4 linked regions of the Xenopus tropicalis genome follow. The protein of the gene in region 3 binds, or shares a complex with, the protein of the main gene of each other region. Links are inferred from orthologs where the notes say so. Each region holds a gene or a part of one and is shown on either strand. Other genes may lie near its edges.

Region 1 (3,500 bases), on a different chromosome or scaffold from region 3:
GATTCGCTCATTATGCACGTGTGTGCCAAACAATATGGCCATTCCCACCGGAAGCTCCCTCCTGATGCAGGCGGCCTAGTACTGGCAGGGGGTATTTTTTTAAAAATACTCTAACCGGAGTGCGGGCTCTATTACTCTGCATCTCTGGTGGGGGAAATAATGTTGGGGTGATGGATGCCCTTTAACCAACCTATCCCCCTTCCACCTCTCCCCACAAATCTAAACTGTGAAAACACAAAAAATATATTAAAAAAGTAGTCACCTCTTGGAAAACTGGTGTTACTAAGGCTGATAGACAGTGTGACCGTGGCAGGCGATGAATGACTTCTGCTGACTGCAGACAAACCAACATAATAAAAGTGTAAGCAAAGACATGGAATACTTGCGAGATTATATTTCTCTCTGTTTAGTATAGCTCTCATAGCCTTAGCAATACAATTTGCAATAAACTATAGTTTTCTCCTCTTTTAAGCTAAGTCACATGATCAGCAGGAAGTAACTGTGCACAAGCAGTAAAAAGGAAATGAGGCAGGTAGCTTATAAAACACAGGGCAGAGTATAGCAAGTGAATATCTGTGCCCTCTCCATGCTCATTCCTGAGTATCAGAAGTAAAGTGAAAGTGGCTGCTAGTAATTATAAGTGGCTGAACACAACCAGACACCTCTAATATGGATGTCATTACACTGATACCTTCTGACAGCCCCACTGCATTCGGCTCATGGACTTGGCACAGATGGTTTCTGGAAATGACCAGATGGGAATTTGGTTCTGATTCCGCTCATCTTCATTGTCCCTGAAACACACAGACATATGACTGAAGCTGAAAGCCCAACAGCCTAGCAAATTAAACTTTCTAACCTGGTTTCTCATCAGTGTTTTAAATACTACCAGGCCCGGATTTGTGGAGAGGCCACAAAGGCCCGGGCCTAGTGCAGCATTCCGCCCCGCTGCGTCAAAATCTTGAAATTTTGCTACCATACGAAGCAATGAGGAGCTCTCCCACTGCTCTGTATGCAAGTGTAGACTTCTGTGCATGTGAGCGTGTGCACTTGCGGGGGGAGGTGCTGCTGTTTGCACATGTGCACTTGCGGGGGGGGGCGAACAGGGGCGGCCTTGGGTGCCCGGATTAGAAATCCAGCAATGCATACTACCCTTATGCACGTGGCTCACTGAAGGTCTAGGAATATGTTGACCAGTCTTAGGCAGGCTATAAAATAATTTCAGCAGAATACTGAATTGGGCCATGGATGCAGGTCTCTGACACCCCATGAGAACCAGTCATGAGCCAAGGGGGTGATTGGATCAACCATATTTGGGCCACCTTTATGCCAGGGGTCCCCAACCTTTCTTACTCGTGAGCCACAGTCAAATGTAAAAAAGGTTGGAGAGCAACACAAGCATCATGAAAGTTCATGGAGGTGCCAAATAAGGGCTAAGATTGGCTATTAGGCAGCCTCTATGCACACTATCAGCTTACATGAGACTGGCAAATTGTGGGGCCTCCATTACTGTGCTCACAACTGCGTAATTGTAGCTTGCCAGAACCTTGAGACCAGGCAGTCCTCAATTCAATGCCCTCATGCTCTGTCAAACATGTAAGTAATCATTAGCTTAATGTAGTAGTAGCGAGACAGGTCACTGCAGGGTTAAACTGCGAAGGTGCACTTTGTTACACTACATTTCGTGCTTCACAAGCCCTTTATACTGTGCTCACAACTGTGCATCCCAGTGAAATCTTCAGCAAGTCACTATAAGGGCTCTGGCAGAGATTTACATTTTCGCCGGTGGGATGGCATTTCGGGGAGATTAGTCGCCCGCGAACAGGGAGATTTGTCGCGGGCGACTAATCTCCCCGTGTGCCAGAGCCCTAAAGCATGTGTTTGCCAATAAGAATAATACATGTATTAGCTCAGGTGCAGGCACCAGGATCATGCTGAGAATCAGCCTTGTGCTTATAGCTAGCAATTCCCAGATAAAGGCAACAGCGTCATTCCTGCCCCAGTCTTGTGGCTGATACAGTTTATTTACAGTACAGAAATTGGAACTAAAAGGTTCTCTAAACAGAATAACACCACGCAGAAATGACATAATGATAGCTTGGAAGTTTGTGTAAATATTGATTTTAATTTGGGTTTATATCATTTATCTTTCTTCAGATGTTTATTTGCCCCACTTTATCAAAAGGTTTTATACACAGTCTATCCAGTAACTGAGTACACTGGTCTTTTGTATCACGCTTATCAGAAATTGCATTTTGCTTACAGCATGAGGCTTCAATTTGTATTTGCTGTGACCAAACCACCCTACAGTCCATTACACTCGGCTTCTAAGGGTAAGAACCAAATCCAAAAAGGGCTTCCAGTGGCAACAATAGAAGTCGCTGGTGGAAAGCCCTTTGCATCACTTCGGTAATCCGAAGTCGCACAAAGTTTCCTCATGCAGGCAACTTCGCGTGACGGAAAAAGAAGCGATGCAAAGGGCTTTACACCGGCAATATCTATTGTTGCCACTGGAAAGCCTTTTCAGAGCAGTTACTCGCTTACGATAGCAGCAATCAATTGAGGGCGACTAACTTGTTCCTTCTGTGGGTTCCTACCCTAAGGGTGAAGACACACTGAGCTACTTAGTAGCAGCTACTTGTCACAGCTACTAAATGCCAGAAATACCCTGCCATAGACAATACTTAGAATTGCCTTTGGTAAAACACACGTAGAGACAGTTATCAATAGTAACTACTTGTTAGTAGCTGCTACACTCTGTGTCTCTTCACCCTAAGGGCTACAACACAAGGAGGTACCGTACTTGTACCCAGCTACAAGTAACTCCATGTGTCATTGCCTTAAAAAGCTGCACTTAATAATGGAAGCACAGGGACAGGTATAATGATAGGGTGTGTGCTTTTATAACCTAAAAAAAAGTTAATGGAAAAGGGGTGGGGGGGTTAAATAAAGGGTTCTTTCCTTTATGAAAAACTATTGTACTGCTCAAGTAATAATATAAAAAGTGATTTGAGTAGTTAGGGCCAACATGTAAGGCCCCTGAAATCTTGTATGTTGTCCACCAGTAAATGACTAGTTACCTACTTTCTGTTTCGGCGCCAGTGTCTTGGCTGCATGGTTTCCATAAATAATGCCAAAGGACTTTTCTGCTTCAGACAGATGCCATAAATATACTTACATGTCAGACTCATCTGAGCTAGAATCTTCTCGGTGGCCCTGGGATTTCCAGCGCTTGTGTCTTTCTACCAGTTCTACAAGGAAGGATGTTTTCTTAGTGTATCTTAGTATGAAGCGGTGCTTCAGCAGCTCACGTGCTGTAGGCCTCTAAGAGTGCAAATACTTGTGGTCAGAAAGCAAGGATGGCTGCAGCACCACAATCCACACAAACAGGCAGGCACCTTGTAAAGCTATTTGCATGAATTCCCATTTATGGAATGCCACAGGAATGATCTGCTGTGTGCCTTAGTGTAGTGCTACATGGGTGTGCTAAGTGTGCATGT
Region 2 (3,500 bases), on a different chromosome or scaffold from region 3:
TCCAATAATTTGAAATCCACATCATGTGCAACATCAACACCATAATACGTCATTTTTGGAAAATGTTTTAGCTGGTCCTAAGTTTATAGTAAGCTTACCTTGGAATCATAAGCAGACTGCTGTATGACCTCTGGAGCCATCCAAAATGGTGTCCCTACAAAGGTGTTTCTTTTTATTTGTGTGTCTGTAAGCTGCCCTGCGACACCAAAGTCTGCGAGCTTGACATCCCCCTGCTCAGACAGGAGTACATTGGCAGCTGGAAGATAGAATACACTACTTAGAACAGACTGGAACAACCGGGAACCAACAGACTGGAAAATCAAACATTCCCATACCTTTGATGTCCCTGTGAATTTTATTCTCAGAGTGCAGATAGTCAAGGCCTTTTAATATTTCTTTAAGCATGGTAGCAATCTGGAACTCATCAAAAGGACCAACACGAAGCTAAAGGTTGAAAATTACAATGCAGAAATAAAAAACACTTAAGATGCATATTGTTTGTTTGTTAAACTTACCCTGATATTAAAATAATTGCAGCTAATCATTATAAGGTGTATATGTTCTGCATATTACAACCTTGGGCCAGGATACAAGTTCCAGAACAGCACCCCTGCTATATTGATTTTTTTTTTTTTCCAGTTTTGGCTTATGATATGAGGCTATTTCAATTTATAAAAATAGTGTTGAAGAGGTCATCATTTCAATTAGTCTCAGCTTCAGTGGAGCTTGCACTGTAGCTTCCCCATCACATTCACACAACACACCTGAAATGTAAGGAGACGATTATTCTGCCTGTATGGATCAAAGTGCTGATTGGGCTTACTGGCAACTGTACATAAGGTTTGCCAATGTGTCTTGCCAGCACAGCTGCCTTTATAAATGTGATTTACTGATTTCAAACTCCTGTTCCATATGCTGTTCATATTGTGTGCAAAGTTATTAATATCAACATTGACTTATTAAGCGCCAACATATTCTGCAGCGCTGTACAATAAGTAGGTTTCATACATTTGACATACAAAGTAAAATATAAAGCAACCAATAACGGATACAAGAGGTGAAGAGGGCCCTGCCCAAAAGAGCTTACAATCTACAAGGAGAGAGGTTTGAAACACAAGGTGTGGGAATGGGCAAGATCAGAATCAAGCAATGGGAGAGGTGTGGCACAGGTTGCTTGTAGCAGCACACTGAGGTTATGTTAAACTAAATGAGGGTAAGCTTCACTAAATAAATGCGTTTTTAGAGATCGGGAGTAAGTCTGATAGTTTGTGGGAGCGAATTCCAGAGAAGGGGGGCAGCCCTTGCAAAGTCTTAAATGCAAGTGTGAGGGAGGAGTTGAGAAGTAGGTCAGTAGAGGAGAGTAACAAACAGGTTGGTTGTTATCTAGAGATAAGTTCAGAGATGTAGGGTGGGGCAGAGTTATGAACTGCTTTGAATGTCCTAGTCATTAGTTTGAATTTTATCCTTGATGGTAGGGGAAGCCAGTGCAGGGATTGGCAGTGGTATGGCAGAGGAGAAATGTTTGGATAGGTGTATGAGCCTGGCAGCAGTATTCATTATGGACTGGAGAGGGGACAGTCTCTGAAGGTGAAGGCCAATTAGCAGAGCGTTACAGTAGTCCAGGTGAGATATAATAAGAGTGTGAATAAGAATTTTGGCAGCATCTTATGCACTTTGGTAGAAATAATATAAACGCTAGTTATACACTAAATGGTAGTGTGTTGGGGGTATCCTTAATTGAGAAGGATCTGGGAATTTTTGTAGATAATACGTTGTCTAATTCCAGGTAGTGTCATTCTGTGGCTACTAAAGCAAATAAAATACTTGCATAAAAAAGGGCATTGATTCAAAGGATGAAAACATAATTTTGCCTTATTTATAGGCATCTATCTGGTAAGACCTTACCTTGAGCATGTAGTGCAGTTTTGGGCTCCAGGATATTAATGAGCTGGAGCGAATGCAGAGACATGAAACTAAACTAGTAAAGGGGATAAAAGATTTAAGCTATGAGGTTAGACTGTTAAGGTTGGGGTTGTTTGCAAAGGGACATGATTACTGGCAGATAGGGGGTGTTCTTTTTTGCCATAATAGCAATCAGCGCACCAGAGGCCACCCCTTTAGATTAGAGGAATGGGATTTTCATTTGAAGCAGTGTAGATGTTTTTCATGGTGAAGGCAGTGAGGTTGGGGGAATGTCCGTCCAAGTGATGTGGTAATGGCAGATTCTGTTAATGCCTTTAAAGAGGGGCCTGGATGAGTTCTTGAAGAAGTATAATACCCAAGGCTATTTTGATACTAAAATCTACGGTTAGTATTGATGTTTGTATATATGGTTTATTTACGAGTGTATAAATAGGTCAGTACAGGTGTGTGTGTGTGTGTGTGTGTGTGAGCTGGGTTTACTTGGAAGGGTTGTACTTGATGGACTCTGGTCTTTTTCCAACCCTATGTAACTATACATAAAAACACACAGTGTATATTGCATTGTACAAGTTAGTACACATTTTTTTTTACGTTTTTAAAGGTTTAAAATAGTATATATTTTTGTTGTACTTGAAGAGTCAGCGGATTTACTGCTGAAGTTTGTTGCTGGAACGAGTAGTAGTTTTTTGTACAACAGCACCATTTAGAAATGGAAGCTAGTCTTTAATTTACTACTGCAGCCAGGCAATGGTTTAAATGACAGACTGGAAGATGAATAAAGAGATCAGTAATAAACAGTAACAATAAATTGAATCCTCACAGGGCAATGGGTTTTTGGCTGCCAGGGACAATGCTCCCAATCAGACAGCTTGCAAGAGAAAGGAGGAAAATAATCCAAAAAAAAAAAACCAAACAAACAAATTGAAGACCAATTCAAAAGTTGCCAATAATAAGAAATTTAATAAGACACTAAAAGTTAACTTAAATGTGAACTACGATTTTAAGTCCCCAAGTCTTTTGCTCTTTTCGTCTGTAAAAATGCAGAATACTGCTGTTATGGACCCCAGGGATTGATGCACTTACACACCCATTTGGCTCCATGGGCAGGCAATCTGACTCAAGTGAAATATGTGGACTGTATTTCCCACAGAAGTATATGCAAGTGTCACTTGGGAAAGTGAGAAGTGGATTGTCTCATAAGGGGATATTCAGTATACTTCTTAATGAAAGTAAAAACCATTTAAATGGAGCTTATCACTGTAAAGCAAAAACACAGCCTACAAACTAGAAAGGGAAGTTTGAGAACAAACTTCATGTTGGGTTGAAAAACATGAAGTCACTGAATGGGCTCCGCCCACTTTCTCTAACCTTGGACCACAGTTATACAGTAAAAACCACTGTGCAAAGTTTGGGGACCCTGGTTTTAATAGTGTCTGAATGGCAGCAACCTAAATTTCCGTACTGAAAGTCAACAACATCTGATTGGCGGTTGGTAGCTCCACCCCCTTTTTCTAACCTGGAACTGCAGTTAACTAGTGACTAACTCTGCAAAGTTTAGGGGCCCTAAGGATTAATAG
Region 3 (3,500 bases):
GTACTGTTTTATAATTATAGAGAAAAATAATTTTATAAAATTAAATGGAGTCTATGGGAGATGGCCTTTCCATAATTCAGAACTTTCTGGATAACAGGTTTCCGGATAAGGGATCCCATACCTGTACATACAATAATAAAGAAATATTTTTTAACTTAAAATTTGGGGGTGATTAGATATTTTTTAGTTGTTTTTTGTCCCCATACAGGGTTCTACTTAGTGTTATGTATCTGATGGTTGAAAATATTCGTCAAGAATCAGAGAATGATGACCCAGAATGGAAAATTCTACGTGCTAATTTCCGTGAAGAACTTGGTGAGGAGAGACTGTATGGATACCACTAAAACAGGCTTCATCAGTGTTTTTGCTTAAAGTGGTGACATAATTGGTGGCTTAGGACAAATATTTCCCTTTCATTTAATCTGTTAAAGGAGAAGGAAAGGTAAAAACTAAGTAAGCTTTATCAGAAAGGTCTATGTAAATACAGCCATAAGCGCTCACAGAAACGCTGCACTGAGCCCACTGTTAAAAGAAACAGGATTTCTTCTCTCTTTGTTTTCCTGTGCCAGAGTCTGTGCAGCTCTCTCCAGCTCCCCCCTCCCTCAAGAATGCTAAGAACGCCCTCCCCCCCCTTAGGGCCATTCAGCAGGAAGCTTCCTCATAGTCTTACAAACTGCGCATGTACAGGGGTCTTGGTCTTGGTGCAGGAGCCTGGCATTATGGGAATTTTCTTTACAGAGCTCAGCATTTTTTTTTCCTATGAGGCTTCTGATCATCTGAACAGGAGAAATATGGGGAGACTTAAGGGCACCACTGAGAGAACTGAAGGTATGTCTGCATCTTGAGATTAACTCTTTATTAGCCTTTCCTTCTCCTTTAATGGCATTAATGACTGGATCAGTGTGACTTGGCTATTGATGATCATGCACTAAACAACCATCTGGAAACTGGTATGTTTTAATAGGTTTTAATTGGGCCCTACACTTTAAAAGAAAAGGAAAGCTTTATCAGAAAGGACTATGTAAATACAGCCATAAGCACCCACAGAAAAACTGCAGTCAAAAGAAACAGAGTTTTTCTTTTCTTCTTCTGTGTACACATGTCTTTTAGTGTTAGACTTCCTTCTCTCAGAAAAATTCTTCAGGTCACAGGCACGAGCCTGCTCAGGTTTCTCCTGTCTCCCTCTCTCCAGAGATGTATTTAGGTCCGGTGCCTAGGGCTTATGGTGATATAGGGGCATAAGAAAGCATATTAGCATTTTCTGTCCTGTTAGAGAAAACGCCACATGTGAAATAGCCCTAAATAATCAGATCAGATTGTTAAGGTTTAATGGCCTTTTATCACAACACAGAAATAGTTTAGCAATATTATCCTTCAAAAATAAAATAACATTTACTGTTTGCATGATTATTCTATCCTGTGTAGTGTCAAAATATTGGACCAAATACAATTTTATGTTCCTAATCAGTGGAGAATTGTGCTTAATGTTTTTTTATTGGTTCTTGATACAATTTCAAATATTTTTAAAATTAATATTATATATGATAGAAAATAGTATTTATGGAGCATTTCATAATACACGTTGTCTTTCTTTGTAGCCTTCCCTGTGCATCCTGAGGAGCCATTTGCTCATCTCCTCTTTGCAATGGTGACCAAATTCTGCAGTGGTCATTGTCCCCACTTTCCCATGAAAAAAGTTCTCTTGCTGCTCTGGAAAGTTCTGTTGGTATGGTCCCAAATAATTTATTTAAATGTATTAATGACGAAATCCTATGCTACATATATTATTTCTCAGTTCTCTCATCTCATAGAAAAAAGAGTGAACAGAGAAATATATTTCTATTTTAAATGTTATAATGTTAAATATTATAGAATTACGTAAAATAGCTATTCTTTCCTAGAGACACCTAAAAGCCCCGCTTAAAGGATTTGGGTACAAACACATTTGCTGTCCTACATATTCTAGGAATTGGTGAATGAATGATACATCAATATTTTCCCTTATCTGGGACCATGGCCTAGGTTTGAACCTTCAAGTGGGGCTTGAACTGAAACACTTTGACAACCATTGTATTAGAAAAACCTTGTAATTCAATTTCAGATTTCTTAACAAACTTCAGTGTTGGTTTTCTTATTGAGCTGAATCAAGCACTATCTCATAAAACCTAACATAATCTTAAATATTGCATAAGTGCAGTATCAGACATAGAAATTTGTTGCGTATGGGAAATCACCTGTGGAAGAAGGCATTTAAGAAGGCATTTTACATGTGGTAATTCTTATTCTTCTGGACTGAAAGCTAGTTTCAATCCTATTTTCATGGATTAGAAGGAGTGATCTCCCGTGGGTTACAAAGCACTATGTCTGACATTGCCCTTTAAATATTAGCAAGTACCAAACACTTAATATGGGAAAACAAAAACTATATATTAAATATGTTCATGTATGGGTATATATGGGATATATTTTGAATGTCAAATTTATGCATCCCAATAACTGGGATGGAATTCAAAATAGGTGGCATATCAGCAACAGAGAGACCCAAACAGCATCTTACATGTATCTTATGGCATCTTACAGCAGCCCCACTGCCCCCTGTATGTGCAAAAGTTTTGCTTTAGAACCGTGCTGCTTATGCCACCCTGCTAACATTTTATTCCAATTAAGTTTACATTAGGTGGTTTCCCTGAGCTTCAGAGCATGAAGGAGAAAAAAAGATCAGAACTTGGCTTGCCACCCTTACTGGAGGACAGCATACAGGTGATGAAGAACATGAAGGCTATCTCCCCTCCTACTTATGGCATTGAGCTAGGAGAGCAGCAGAAACGTGGGCGCAGAAGTCGCAGGGTTAGTCTTTTTTCCTTGATATGCTCATACATTTTTTTAAAGTGATTTCATATCTTCTTGGCAATATGTTCTGCTTCTGCAGCCTCAGAATATGCCATTATTCACTAATCAGGGCTGAGTGTTAGAAATATAACAGCCCATCAAGAACATAGGCTTAGCAACTACCTTAGTCATTTTAAACCCTCATGGACTTCAGTTGTGCAGTCTCAAACAGCTGATTGAACTTGGCTTTGCCAAATATACATTAGTTGTGCTAATTATACTATAAAATGTGATATTTTACCCTATTGGGTAGTTTAGTGCTCTGTTTTTTTTTTTTTCTGTCAACAACAAGGTTGTTTGAACATACCTGTAACACTTCAACAACCCAATGATCACTGCATATGATTCATGGAATAATTTTTTACCAGGTTTTTAAAACCCCTTGAATTAACCTCTTTCTAAGCCATTTATTGCCATTCACTTGATCTTATAAACTGGTTTCAATATTGTATTGTATCATGTATAATTACCATGTCAGATTATGGTTATTAGAGCTAATAGTGAAAATAAAGGGGCAAGTGCTATGGACTAGCATTTGTGACTATTGCCTTCTTACTGATTTTCCATTAATGTTTATAAATGTTCTGGCTTTGTCAGCCATTTATTTAAAC
Region 4 (3,500 bases), on a different chromosome or scaffold from region 3:
TCTGCCAAACACAACTGCAATTTATGGTAACAATACGGAAATGTGTAATACACTTATGCGTCTGAGTTAATGCTGCACTGCTTTGGGCACTTCCTTTGTATAGTTATGATTGCCATGATTTCTGATGATGAAAGAACAGGACAAATTTAGGGTTAAACACTCAGGCTTATTTATATATTCATAGATCTGTAAGTGTCCTGTACATAATTCTTAAATCAACCGTGCACAATATGAACAAATTCTTAAAGGTCTAGCAAGACTGTGTCAGTGTAGCAGCTGCATAATAATGCTCAGCAAAGTTTGTTTATGCAGAAGGCCAAGTTGCTGCAACAAACCTGCATGTAAAACCTAAGCTTTAAACACATCCTGACCAACAGACTTTCTGGCTGAATTTCAAAGGGTTCTGAAACACCTATGCAAGACAAAAAATTCTTTTTTTTAAAAATTAATTTTATTCTATATAGTTTTTACCATTTTATCAACAATGTGATGCCCCTCTGGATGAAGGGGTCGCCAACCTCTCACCCACCACCTGCACGCAAACATTGGCAGCAGGGAGTTAGGAGTATTCTCAGTTGAAAAGCAAGTTAATCGTTTCCGTACATGTGTGGCCTATTGTTAGCTGCAGCAGCCAACAGATTAATCTGCATAAGAAAGATGAGAGCTTGCGCATGTGCAGTACCACTCAAGGAAAAGCTTTTGTGCTCTCTCTTTTCCTCTGGCGGTCTCGCTGATCTCTAACTGGGTAAGCGCCTCATTTTAATTAATAAAGGAAGCATTTTAAAAAATTCATTATAATGGGTAAAGTTCTTCTTTTGCATTCCCAGCACTCTGATGGGGCTTTGTAAAAAGTGAACATCAGCACTGTCTTCATTTATTTATTATTTATGATTTTTTAAATACTTTTTTGTTCTACAAAAAAGCAATAAAAAAATAAAAACCATTAAAGAAATTTTTTGCTGCAAGCTGGATCTATGCAGAATAAAATCTTGTATCATTCGAAACACATACAAAATAAACAATCAAACCAACTGAACTCTTTTCAAACGTGCTTCAAATACTATGCAAATGAATCCCCAGTTCAGGCTCCATATAACATAAGACAATTTATCCATTTCATTTGCTAAGCAATTCTATTAATATGGCAGAATCAGCAAGTAAGTTAAAAGATTCACTCATTTGGCCAGGTCACCAAATGAATGGTTCTTTCCCCTGACGCAGTATGCCCATCCCGAGGGCCAATCGACCAGATCATAATGGCCATTATGCAGTCCAGATGCCAACAGATACCCTCAACCTGACGGAAAATCGAACCTGCCCAATTAACATCTACCCGATTTTTGATTGGGCAGGCCCTTCAAAAGGACCCACACGGGCTGAATGCCTGCCTACTCTGTCTGTCAACAGCTTTTGTCAGCCCATGTATGGCCATATTTCATTTGCAACACCTGCATGGAATGGTAAACCCTGCAGAAGGAATATAATCCCCATTCTTCTATTATTTTGATACAAAGAGGAATATGAAGACAGAGTTCCAACAACAGACAGAATAACGAAAAAGGAATGACCTACCTTTAATATCCCTGTGAATTTTCTTCTCTGAATGCAAGTAGTCAAGTCCCTTTAAGATTTCCCGTAAAATGGTTGCAATCTGTGTTTCATCTAAAGGACCAGGTTCTAACTGCCAGGAGGGAAGAGAAAATGTTGGTTAGGGTGATGGAACTTACTGAGGGATTGTTAGGGTAGTGCTTAAGGGTGATGGCACACGAGAAGATCTCGCCCATTGTTAGATCGCCGCAAGTGAAACCTAATTACTCACAGCAACCTGGCTTTTTCCCACATTTATTCCAGATCACAGAGCGGAATAGGTTTTACGTGCGATGATCTTAAAGTGGACCTGTCACCCAGACATAAAAAGCTGTATAATAAAAGTCCTGTTCAAATTAAACATGAAACCCAAATTCATTTTTATATTAACACATCCAAACCCATTATAAAGGCATTCAAAAATCCCAGCTGTCAATCATATATTGCTTGCCTCGCCTCTATGCCTTAGGCATAGAGGCGGGGCAGACAATAACTTTAGCTTTCCATTCAGCACTTCCTAGATGTCACTGCACATCTCACTTTCCCCCTCCCTCCTCCTCATCTAATTGTGTAGCCAGTGCATGGGCATGGGCATCAGGTCCCCCATTCTGGCACATAAACAAGATTTTGACATGATACAAAGTTTGCCTTCATAACAGTGTCCACAAAATCGTGCCTACCTGCTTGCTTTGATTGAGTAATTCCAAGACGGAAGGAAACAAGATTTATATTATTTATATAGCATAAGTAACATTTATTTTGCTCAAGTAACAAAAATAATTTGGAGTTATGTCTTGGGGTGACAGGTCCCCTTTAATGTTATGCTATAGAAGGTCTTTTATCGTAGACATGGCGTCTGCGGTAGCAAAGATTTAACTACAGACGACAAATCTCCATGTGTGCTATCACCTTTAAGCACTACCCTGTTCAGGAGTTCATATATACAGTTCACAAATACAAAGTGTAATTAAAAGGGGGGCTGTAGAGATATTATTGGGGGGTGAATAATTCACAAAACAGAAGTTGGTTTTAATCTGGAATACTAACCCACAGCTGAATGGGGAAGTGTGACAATCTTAGGGAAAGGTCACACAGGGCGGACTGTAAGCCTGCAGATAAGAACAAGCCGACAACCCATCCCTACACTTAGGGCTCTGGCATACGGGGGAGATTAGTCGCCCGCGATTAACTCCCTGTTCGCGGGCGACTAATCTCCCCGAGTTGCCTACCCCTGCCATCCCACCGGCGAACATGTAAGTCGCCGGCGGGATGGCAGACGCGGCGGCGGCGAGTCTTTTTCGGCGATTTCCGGAAATCGCCTCGCCGCGAACAGGGAGTTTTATCGCGGGCGACTAATCTCCCCCGTGTGCCAGAGCCCTTAAGGTGGCCATACACGCACCGATATTATCGTACGAAACCTCATTTCGTCCGATAATCGGTGCGTGTATGGCATGTCGGCGAGTCGACCGATATCGCAGGAAGCTGCTGATATCGGACAACTCACCGATCGGACCAGTTTGAAAATTTTGATCGGGCGCCGTAGAAGGCGCCTGACCAAATTTCTCCCTTCAGAGCTGAATCGGCAGAAGGAGGTAGAAATCCTATTGTTTCTACCTCCTTACCTGCCGATTCAGCCCTGAATGGTGTGTGGCGGATCTTACGATGTTTCGTGCGACCGATGGTCGTACGAAACATCGTCAGATCGCCACGTGTATGGCCACCTTTAGGGGCACATTTACTAATCCACGAAAGTCCAAAAAGCGTCCCAATGCAGTTTTTTCGTAAGGATCGGTATTTTGCGATTTTTTCGTAAATTGTCGTGACTTTTTCGTAGCGTTACGACTTGCGCGAATTGTCGCGACTTTTTCGTAGCCGTCGCGCCGAGGACGAAAGTTTCAGATTCATTCAAGCTT

Evidence for each region. Proteins that work in one complex are often made in the same cells at the same time.
Region 1: strip2 (region 3) and stk25 share a complex: the UniProt entries of both Homo sapiens proteins name them as parts of the core of STRIPAK complex. The link is inferred for Xenopus tropicalis from reciprocal best matches to the Homo sapiens genes STRIP2 and STK25.
Region 2: strip2 (region 3) and stk26 share a complex: the UniProt entries of both Homo sapiens proteins name them as parts of the core of STRIPAK complex. The link is inferred for Xenopus tropicalis from reciprocal best matches to the Homo sapiens genes STRIP2 and STK26.
Region 4: strip2 (region 3) and stk24 share a complex: the UniProt entries of both Homo sapiens proteins name them as parts of the core of STRIPAK complex. The link is inferred for Xenopus tropicalis from reciprocal best matches to the Homo sapiens genes STRIP2 and STK24.

The regions. Positions count from the first base shown.
Region 1 is NC_030681.2:125,804,943-125,808,442, reverse strand, and holds part of stk25 (serine/threonine-protein kinase 25), read right to left. Parts: intron 3,325-3,500; coding exon 3,179-3,324; intron 795-3,178; coding exon 692-794; intron 335-691; coding exon 263-334; intron 1-262. UniProt on the Homo sapiens protein: Oxidant stress-activated serine/threonine kinase that may play a role in the response to environmental stress.
Region 2 is NC_030684.2:67,443,749-67,447,248, reverse strand, and holds part of stk26 (serine/threonine-protein kinase 26), read right to left. Parts: intron 445-3,500; coding exon 336-444; intron 257-335; coding exon 99-256; intron 1-98. UniProt on the Homo sapiens protein: Serine/threonine-protein kinase that acts as a mediator of cell growth. Modulates apoptosis. In association with STK24 negatively regulates Golgi reorientation in polarized cell migration upon RHO activation.
Region 3 is NC_030679.2:87,158,367-87,161,866, reverse strand, and holds part of strip2 (striatin-interacting protein 2), read left to right. Parts: intron 1-208; coding exon 209-315; intron 316-1,598; coding exon 1,599-1,726; intron 1,727-2,667; coding exon 2,668-2,847; intron 2,848-3,500. UniProt on the Homo sapiens protein: Plays a role in the regulation of cell morphology and cytoskeletal organization. Required in the control of cell shape. Calmodulin-binding scaffolding protein which is the center of the striatin-interacting phosphatase and kinase (STRIPAK) complexes.
Region 4 is NC_030678.2:121,393,328-121,396,827, reverse strand, and holds part of stk24 (serine/threonine-protein kinase 24), read right to left. Parts: intron 1,682-3,500; coding exon 1,573-1,681; intron 1-1,572. UniProt on the Homo sapiens protein: Serine/threonine-protein kinase that acts on both serine and threonine residues and promotes apoptosis in response to stress stimuli and caspase activation.